Linked DNA regions of Schizosaccharomyces pombe. The protein of the gene in region 1 interacts with the protein of each later gene in a pairwise test. Each region holds a gene or a part of one and is shown in the gene's direction. Other genes may lie near its edges.

Evidence for each region.
Region 2: the proteins of fra2 (region 1) and fep1 interact in a protein complementation assay, tested with the Schizosaccharomyces pombe proteins (one study listed by BioGRID).

Annotation. Positions count from the first base shown.
Region 1 is NC_003424.3:3,656,982-3,660,457, forward strand, and holds fra2 (iron-sensor Fra2), read left to right. Parts: upstream 1-2,107; 5' UTR 2,108-2,150; coding exon 2,151-2,210; intron 2,211-2,289; coding exon 2,290-2,439; exon of another isoform or gene 2,440-2,545; coding exon 2,546-2,590; 3' UTR 2,591-2,843; downstream 2,844-3,476. Other genes in the region: protein mug129, read right to left, coding at 1-376; rrp14 (ribosome biogenesis protein Rrp14-N), read right to left, coding at 1,486-1,851, 1,897-1,980, 2,026-2,040; ermes regulator Emr1, read left to right, coding at 3,449-3,457.
Region 2 is NC_003424.3:440,068-446,341, forward strand, and holds fep1 (Fe-sensing transcription factor Fep1), read left to right. Parts: upstream 1-2,153; 5' UTR 2,154-3,501; coding exon 3,502-5,196; 3' UTR 5,197-5,654; downstream 5,655-6,274. UniProt on the Schizosaccharomyces pombe protein: Transcriptional repressor that binds the consensus promoter sequence 5'-[AT]GATAA-3' during iron-replete conditions to down-regulate transcription of target genes. Represses the expression of the iron transporter fio1 in response to high iron concentrations.

The DNA of each region.
Region 1 (3,476 bases):
ATGGATGGGTGTATTTGTACAAGTAAGAACCAATGGTAAATGTCACTATGGTCTGTGCTTCCTCCGTCTTCGACATGGATCGACCATCACCATAGTATACATCATGAAATAAATCATTGTAGGAGTTAATAAAATACGTTAAAGCTTCTCGACGATCTTTTGACATATTCTGTCTAACTGAAAGTTGCTGTACAAACTGTCGCAAAGAATCTATTGTCCACTCTATGCATAAGCTAGATCTTGATTTTTCACTTGCTAGCTCGTTCAATGGTGAAACAACGCTTAAATGCGCATGTCCTACATTAGGAGGTTTCTTCTTATGCTCATCCTTATCTTCTTCGGGGCTCTTGCAGCAAGTTAGGATTCTCCATAGCATCACAAGTTTGATTATTTGGACAGATAAGTTTAAAATTGGAAAACAAAACGACCGCGCGAGATATAAAAAATCAACAATAAAAAAAAGATTAAAAAAATAAAAAACAAAAACAGAACTATCTAATACTCAGAGGTTGCCGTAGTAAGGGTTTTATTGATGATGACAAACGACGGGTTATGTTAGCAAGGTGAGCAGTATTGACAATTAAAATCAATTAATAATTAATAGCTTGCCTAATGAAAAACATTAAAAGAATAAACAGCGGAAAGGAAAGAGATATAATGCGATATTGAAATGATAGACGGTGCATGCAGTCGTAGTAAACTGAGGATGCACTACTGATGAGTCAAGTCAAATGATACTAGTAGTATATATAAACTCATACACACTAAAATACTATAGTAAGTACATTGAGTATGACTACAGAGCATCTATTGAAGCACTAATGATAATACTAGAAACAAATTGTCTGCTCAATTCATTTTGCTTGTATCTTCTTATACTAAAACAAAAACTTTCATATACAAACAAAAAACCATGGGACGTCTCAAGGCGTTGCTCTTGTAAACTCTAAGAATACATTTGACGATCCACTTCATCAAACGTTACAAGATTTACTAAATAAGCAATCCAACTTTTCATATGTTAAACTGCTTAGTGAAGGAAAAATAAACAGCAGAAGCGAAATAAAATCTGAAACATACATTTACACTTATAAAGATAAGTAGAAGGCTATAATATTACGCGTTTGTCCTTTAAAATCATTTTTGCAGGAAATCATCAATGCGTGCATTGGAAACCTGTGAGGTATGCTGCCTTGATGCCTCAAAACTAACGTTAACAATGGTAGGACGATACAAAAAATAAGACCAAAGAATATTTAAATAAGAATTATACTAAATCGAACTGCAATAAAATAAAAGCCCGCTCCCAACCGTATCCGTCCATCCTTGAATTTTTTAACCAACTTGCGAAAGACAAAAGAAATAATTTTCTCAAAAAAATAGTACTTTTTTAATCCTCTATTATCCAGAACCTTTGTATTAACGTTTTAGTTTTTTGTCAGGGTTTGCCTCTTTTGATGAATTTACTCTTTAAGGCAACAAAGCTTAGAAACCAGCACGAGGAGATGCCTTGTGTTTCTTCTTTTGAACCTTGCTTTTTCCTGATCCCTTTTGAGAATCCTTTTCATTCTCGACAGGACGCTTATTTTGTCGTTTTTGATTCAAGTCACCGGCTTTCCTCTTCTCACGCAAATCCTGAATCTTTGATGCTAGTTTACCTCTGATCTGTGACATGCTTTCAGCATGACGATCTGAAACATCTGTATCATCACTCATAGTCGAAGACTGTTCCCACTTTGAAGATTTTTGACTATCATCGTCCGCATCGTTAACAAGACCATCCAAGCTAAATTTCATTTTTCGGCGTTCTTTCTTCTCCTCTAGCGTAGATTTTTTCTGTTTCCATTGATTCTAAATTGAACAGTTAAACATAATTATTCCAAATATCTCACATACCGCTGTATGCTCGCGATAGTAGAGCTTTGCAGGGATATAACTTAAAAGCTCTTCGAACCCGTCATTCCAAGCATTAATCCTTTCCTAATATACTCAATTAATATATAATACTTAATGTCTATGTCTTACTTCGACTTCTGTCATCTTTTTAAGGGTTTTAGAGATTTTGACAGGAGAACACCTAGTTGGTTGAAAGCGAATACACATCTTGAAAAGAACCATAACATAACTTCAATCGACAACGTTTATAAAACATGGTAAATGCACAACAACTTGAGCTTTTGATACAAAATACATTAGAACCTACCCACATTGTACGTTGAGCAAAATTTTTATTTTTATTTTTTGGTTTCACATTACTTTAAGCAAACCATTTTACTGATACTTATATAGGAGATCCAAGATATGTCTGGAGGATGTGGCCAGAACTTCGAAGTAATCATTGTTTCCCCTCTGTTTGAAGGGAAAAGCACGCTAGCTCGTCACCGTCTTGTGAATCACAAACTTCAAGAGGTGATCAAGGATATCCATGCCTTTACTCAGGTTCGTACTCTAAGTTTCAGGCATATAAGATAGAAAAAAGAAGAAGGAATCTGAAAAAAAAAAATGCTTTCAACTATTCTTAATCAGTTACTAACTTTAAATGCAGAAATGTTATAGTCCGGCACAATGGGAAGCTCTTCAAGCAAAATAATACCACATATTCTAATGCTTTCTCTTTTACTTCCTTTCTATTTTCGTGACAGCTCTTCAAAGCAATTGGCATACTTTTAATGTACAAATTACTTTCTTTAAAATAGTTGTAGCACCCCTTATTCCCTTACAGAAGGTACATACTAATACCTTCTTTTTTTTTTTTTTTTTTTGAAGCATGTCAAATTGCCCCAGAGAAAAGATATGGTTTATTATAACCATATATACCTTTTGCTTTAAAGTTCCTAATACATAGGATGTTTTGGCAAATTTTTAGAGAGCACTACATAAATTGTATAAGATGCTGCTAAGATTTTTGACTGTTCGATCTCCTTTGTTTATACGAGTAAGGGGATCTATCAAGGATTTATTATAAATAATATGCATACCTAGCCCTTGTCACCAAATTGTGTTTTCTTAACCTAAAAGTTTTGATAATTTTATCTCATACTAATGTTTCAATACTTCTTTCACATAATTCCATCACTCGAAAGGTAATTGCTCTTCTTGTTAAACTACGATTACTTCAAAAATCAACTCGAAACTGTAAATTTGAAGAATCAAAGAGTTGTTCTATACTAAGCAAATAATAATAACACTCTAACTTGAGTATTTCTTTGCATAAACGACTGTGATAATATCAATGACAAACTCATTAACAAGAAAATGAAGACTGTATAAATGATTTTTTTAATACATAATATAATGAACAACTTTTCAAGACTATTCTAAACTTTCGTACCATAAATATGATCGATATCTCTTCCAATACTACATCCGTTTCTCTTTTATTCCATTACATATTGCATACTTCATAATATTTCCAAATTGGGATTTTCTCTTGTCCATATAAAACAAAATGCTGCCAGTATGCAAAATTTTATCAT
Region 2 (6,274 bases), 3.2 Mb from region 1:
TGCAAGTTAGCTTTTTTAAAAAAAAAAAAAAAAAAAAAAAATATTATTATTGCGCGTATATTTGAAATTGTTTTTGGTCAGCAATGTAGTAGAATTCATCGTGAGAAAGAAACTTAAATTCTATATTTATTTTCTAATTAACTGAATTTAATTAATGAATTAATTGATTAAGTGTCAACCAATGCGTAGGCTAGAAATAAAAAATTGAAACTAAAAAATCGATAAAATAAAATAATAAAAAATATGCGACAGATGAATGAAATAATACTTTAAAAATATAAAAACAAATGAAATCAATAAAACTAAATAAAATAAATAATAAATTACATTCAATGAAATAAGGTAAAGTTAACTCGACTCAAAAAAGTAAATAAGTTCATACCATGATATTCTACGTACAATCAATAGACATCAGTAAAGACTATATCCATGAGACTAGTTCGTGAACAATATGGGAATATCAAATTCAGATATGAAAAGAACAGTCTTTACAAGTTAAGTTAATAAGCCATATGTAATGAACTCTACCTAATTTCAAAACAACCAAAGCATACGTTGAAATATTAAATAAGATCCATTATCAAAAATCCATTTATTTAAAAAAACAGTACGATGTTTAAGAAAACACAAAATTTTTGTATATTCGGTTTTTTAATGCTCTTACTAATACATTTTCCATTCTCACCGCTTCATACATGGTTTTTTGCATACTGTTTTTTATTTTTTTCTATATTTTATTTTCCCATCTACTCTTTCTCCTCTATAAGATGATTTCCATATTTCCGAGGAATTTCAATAGCTAAGATGCGTGGGTTTTCCTTTGGTATCCAGCAACCTAACCAGGTCGATAAACGCTCACCCCCATTTTCTCCTTTCCTCTTGCAATCTATCCATCACATTGCTATTTGCCGAGAAAAATTCATTTCATATCTCCGTCGATAAATATAGGCTTTATCGCACGTGGTTTTGAAATCATTATCGTTCTTTATGTAATTGGCCAAAATCGATCTACACCATCTTGTCGAGACTCGAGCTCAGTGATTTACGATTTTTACAAATCTCAGCTACTTTATCTGCATGGAGTATAAAAATTAAAGTGGAAATATATTTTGATAAAGTTGGTATTGCTGAACTGAATATATGATTATCTCTTTTCCAAACATATTCTCTCAACATCAAACAAAAGCATTCAGCAACTACAACAGGCAATTCAATCTCCCTCACCATCACTAAATAGTAAAAGTTGGTAAAACCATTGCAACCCGCTCGCCCACCACTGTTGATAGTTTCTCTTCCTTGAACATCCGTTTTAACGCTCTTCTAAACGCTTTCTCTGCAATCAATTCTCCTTTTTGTTCGTTTTGGTTTAGCACTATTTAATATCCTAATTGCTCTCGTTTGATCCTTGATTGTCATTTACCGTGTTGGTTCTTATCCCCTATCTATCGTCGATTATTTCTTACAAAATTGAACACTTACACCGTTTATAGTGTTGCTCATATACCCTTATATAGATATAATTATATATTTAGATATCTGGGAAGTTCTTTTTTTTTTTTTTTTTTTGGTCACACCAAAATCTAGTTTCATTAAATTTGGTCATCCTTTTTCTGCAAGTTGGATTAATCTTTTTATCCGCTTCAGGCAACCATAATCACATCTTTCTTTTTTTAACCCTGAGGCCGCAAAAATTTGTCGATTTTGGCCATCAGCTTTTGTTTACGTAAAACTGAGAAACCACTTACATTTGTTAAGTCTCTTTTGTCTTGCTCCAAGTCCATAGTTACACTCTTGCCGGGTTCTTCGCCATAACACAAATACCGGTTGTTTTACTACATAAATTTACCTTATCGTAGTTTTATCATTTATTTCGAATCCGGTTATCCTTTTCTTCCTAGAAGAAAATACTCTACTTATTGCACCTAAGGCTCGTTCTGCTGGACTGGTTGACTGTTCAGTCCATCGTTTTAACGCAGTCTTCCGCGCTCTTTGTAAAACTGCCTCCCTTTTGGTCTCGCTTTTTCGGTGCCTGATTGTTACCCCTTCGTTACTTGATAATTTCATTTCTGCTGATTGGGCCATATTACCTGAACCACCACCACCGCAATTGGATTTTCAATATAATTACCCGATCTCCTTCCCTATCTAAGCTCACACATATCTGCATAAACAAAATTTGCCCACAACCATTCTTCTTCTACAAGTATTAAAAGACAGCTTATAGATAAAGTTACTTGTATTGTTTTTGATCGTTATCTTTTACTATTTAATAGTACTGTTGTCGATAAAGTTTAAGTGCTCTTCCTTTTTCTCGGAGTCTGAGCGACTTTGCCTTGAAAATTCATTTATTTCTCGTTTTTTCCTTCTCTTTTCTACGCAAAGTTAGTTTTTGACTTATCTTTTTCACAACTACTATCGCCGTATGAGTTATTTGCAAGGATCTTCTTCTAATAAAGATTTTTTGCTCTCATCACGATTTTTTTACTTTTCATCTCAGTTCTTTTGATCTGTTGGTGTGATAAAGACTCTTTTCATTAGTTCACTCTCATCTTACTGGATTTGGTGAATATTCTCCATCAAAAAGCTTCTTCACTTCTTTGAATTTGCTTTATGATAATTGACTTTTTGGTATCTATTTCTCCGCTCAATTCATAGGTTGCATCTTGGTTTATTTAACCACCATTGGAAACTGTTCGAATTCTCCAAGGTTTCTTTACTCTTTTTTTTTTTTACATTTTTTGCTTTGCCATTCCTTTTCATAGGATAGGCTCTTTGTTTTCTGCGAGTCGGTTTTCTATTTATTGTATCTTTAACTTTTTAACTTTGTTGAAAAGTTTCCTTTAACACTCTGTTAAAACTTTCACGTTCTTATTTTTGTTCTTATTATCCCATCCGTAGTATCTCTCGTACTACCTTTGAAATTTGGTGCCTTGGTACTTTAAGGCTTTTATTTTTTGTTGGTTTTACTGAACAGTATTACCTTTCCTATTTCTTTCCTTTTTTTGTCCTATGCTTGTTGTGTTTCCGTTAAAATTCCGGAAAATAAATCATTCACGAAGTTCTGTCACCTTTTAACATATTCTCTGTTAATAGTGATTTTTGAATTCACTTTTGGAGATTTATGCTTTTTTGCATCTCTCTCTGACTCCTTTATTCCCTTTTTATATTTATCATAATTGGAACGTGCGCATTCCTTTCTCTCCATTTTAATATTTTACACATATTTTTGTTGTTTTTTTTTTATCAAGGAAGAATAATTTATTATTTATAATTTCTTGTCAATCCATTACGGAAATCTCAAAATTTTTTGAATCCAATCCATCGGTTCTCATCTGGGTTCAATCAATTTTGCAATTTGTACATATCGATACAATCGTTTTCTTGTTTTTTTTTATTTTCCATTGTGAATAAGCTTGGATCATTTCGTTCAGTACAACTCACTTAAAGCTAGCATTTACTTTGATTCGTTCGTAATTAACTTTTTTACATATCACCAAAAAAATGGCTGCGAAACCTGCTCCTTTTGGCCAAAGTTGTTCCAACTGCCACAAAACTACTACTTCTTTATGGCGTCGTGGCCCCGATAATTCCCTTTTGTGCAATGCTTGTGGCTTATATCAAAAACATCGCAAGCATGCCCGTCCTGTCAAATCTGAAGATTTAAAAGACATTTCTCCACTGATACAGCAAGTTTGTAAAAACGGAACCTGTGCTGGAGATGGATTCTGTAACGGTACGGGTGGCAGTGCTTCATGTACTGGTTGTCCTGCTTTAAATAATCGTATAAGAAGTCTCAATGCTTCTAAGTCTCAGAGCGGACGCAAAAGTCTATCTCCCAATCCTAGCAGTGTACCCTCTAGCACTGAAACCAAAGCTTCGCCTACACCTCTAGAATCGAAACCTCAAATCGTTTCAGATACCACGACTGAAACTAGCAATGGCACTAGTAGACGACGTTCTAGTCATAACCAGCATGAAGACTCATCTCCTCCTCATGAACCAAGTGTTACTTTTTGCCAAAACTGTGCTACCACAAATACTCCTTTGTGGCGCCGCGACGAGTCGGGTAATCCGATCTGTAATGCTTGTGGTTTGTATTACAAAATTCATGGGGTACATCGTCCCGTTACCATGAAGAAGGCAATCATTAAACGTCGAAAAAGGCTGGTTTTTAACGGTAATGCGAATGAGTCGCAACACAACTTAAAAAGAATGTCAAGTGGGGATTCCGGATCTTCCGTTAAGCAACAGTCTACAAGGGATGGTCCTTTTTCTAAATCTTTTCCCAATGGTAATGGCCATGCTTCTGGAAATTCTGGTGAAGGTCTGGCTGAGCATGGAATGAATACTGGAGTATTACCTCCGGCTAGTACATTTCCTTCATACAACAGCAATTTTACCGGGTTCTTGCCTTCTTCGTTCAATCCTTCACCATTGATGACATTGTCACGGTTAGCGGCTGGTGAACCTGATAATAATGGGAAAGTTTATTACTCATATGGTCCTACTCAGGAACAATCAATATTGCCTCTTCCTGAGAACAAGCATGAAGGATTGCCTCCTTACCAAAATGAGTATGTTCCCAATGGTATACGAGCTAATCAAGTAGTATACCCTGGTCAGCTTGTAGCAGTTGGCAATGATTCTAGTAAGCAATTATCGGAATCTACAACATCGAACACGGATAATAATGGCGTTGCAACTGCCAACCAATCCAACCCCTTAGGCATGAAGTTTCATTTACCTCCTATCCTTCCTGTTGGCGAGTCAGTCTGTTTGCCTCCTCGAACTTCTGCAAAGCCAAGGATTGCTGAAGGAATTGCTTCCTTACTTAACCCCGAAGAGCCACCCTCAAATTCCGACAAGCAGCCATCAATGTCAAATGGACCGAAATCAGAAGTTTCACCTTCGCAATCTCAGCAAGCTCCTTTAATCCAATCCTCTACCTCGCCGGTTTCTTTGCAGTTTCCTCCTGAAGTTCAGGGATCAAATGTAGATAAACGCAATTATGCTTTGAATGTTCTTTCGCAATTGCGTTCTCAGCATGATTTAATGATTCAGGAGTTGCACAATTTAAATCAGCACATTCAACAAATAGATGAATGGCTGAGGTCCTCTGACAATGAAAATATGGCTTCTGAACATATTAAATCCTCAACCCCTGCTGTTGTTGCATCTGGAGCTCTTCAAACATAAACTTGATTGGCATGTTTGTCGTGCGGCATATTTATTTATGGTAAACAAATTAGATATTATCCCGTTTAGCTGTCTATTACTTACAAGCATGACATTGTATACTATGAGTTTAGGGTAAAATACTTCACATGATTCTTATTGGTCTTTTGTTTTGCGTTAGTTTTGGTATTGGCCAAGTCCGTCTGCGGTGTTATATTCGTTAAGAGCTGGAAAATAATATTCAGTCCTTAGCGATTTACCGTTAAATTTAGAGTTAACATATATGTTTTTAATGAAATCCTATGTGGAGCATTTTTTATGATATTAATACGCATCGAAAAAGCAGATATTGAGAAAAAATAATACTACCGGATTTATATGGTATGTAGATAGTTAATATATTAAATATATTTAAACTGCCCGAGTGCAAACTCATTTGGAAATTGTCAATTCATTAATATATTTTTACAATTTTTCGGGGGAAAAAACATTTGTATACAACTATTTAAAACGGAAAATGGAGTTGCTTGTAAAAAGCAGTATCCATGGTTAATTAGTTCATTCGCAAAAAGTCATTGCTTGACTTTTAAAACTATATGATTAGGCTGAAATTTTAATTGTTCATTACAGCACATATATAAAAAACTTACACTTAATTTTCAGCTCAAATAACTTCGCTATTCATTATTTAATCTATTTAAATCAATAATAATGTAATTATGATATATATCATTTAGTTTTTCTGTTAACAACCAACAGTCCCGTGTTCTAGTGGTATGATTTCTCCTTCACACGGAGAAGGTCCCGGGTTCGATCCCCGGCGGGACTAGACTTTTTGTAAAATTCAACAATAGCGAACTTGAACCATAATGAGATGTTTTAGTATAATATTGATAAACAGTTAATCTACACTACTACTCTAAACATCCTAAGCTTTTCTGAATCTTAACAGCAATGTAACATATTTTTGGATTGTTATAATAATTTACTCCATTTGTTCTATTCTCCGCTGACTATACTTTCAAGTGTATTGTAATATTGTTTTCTGCAAGTTGAAATCAACGAGTTTAGGTAGTAGTCTTTAGCATGAAAGAGCTAA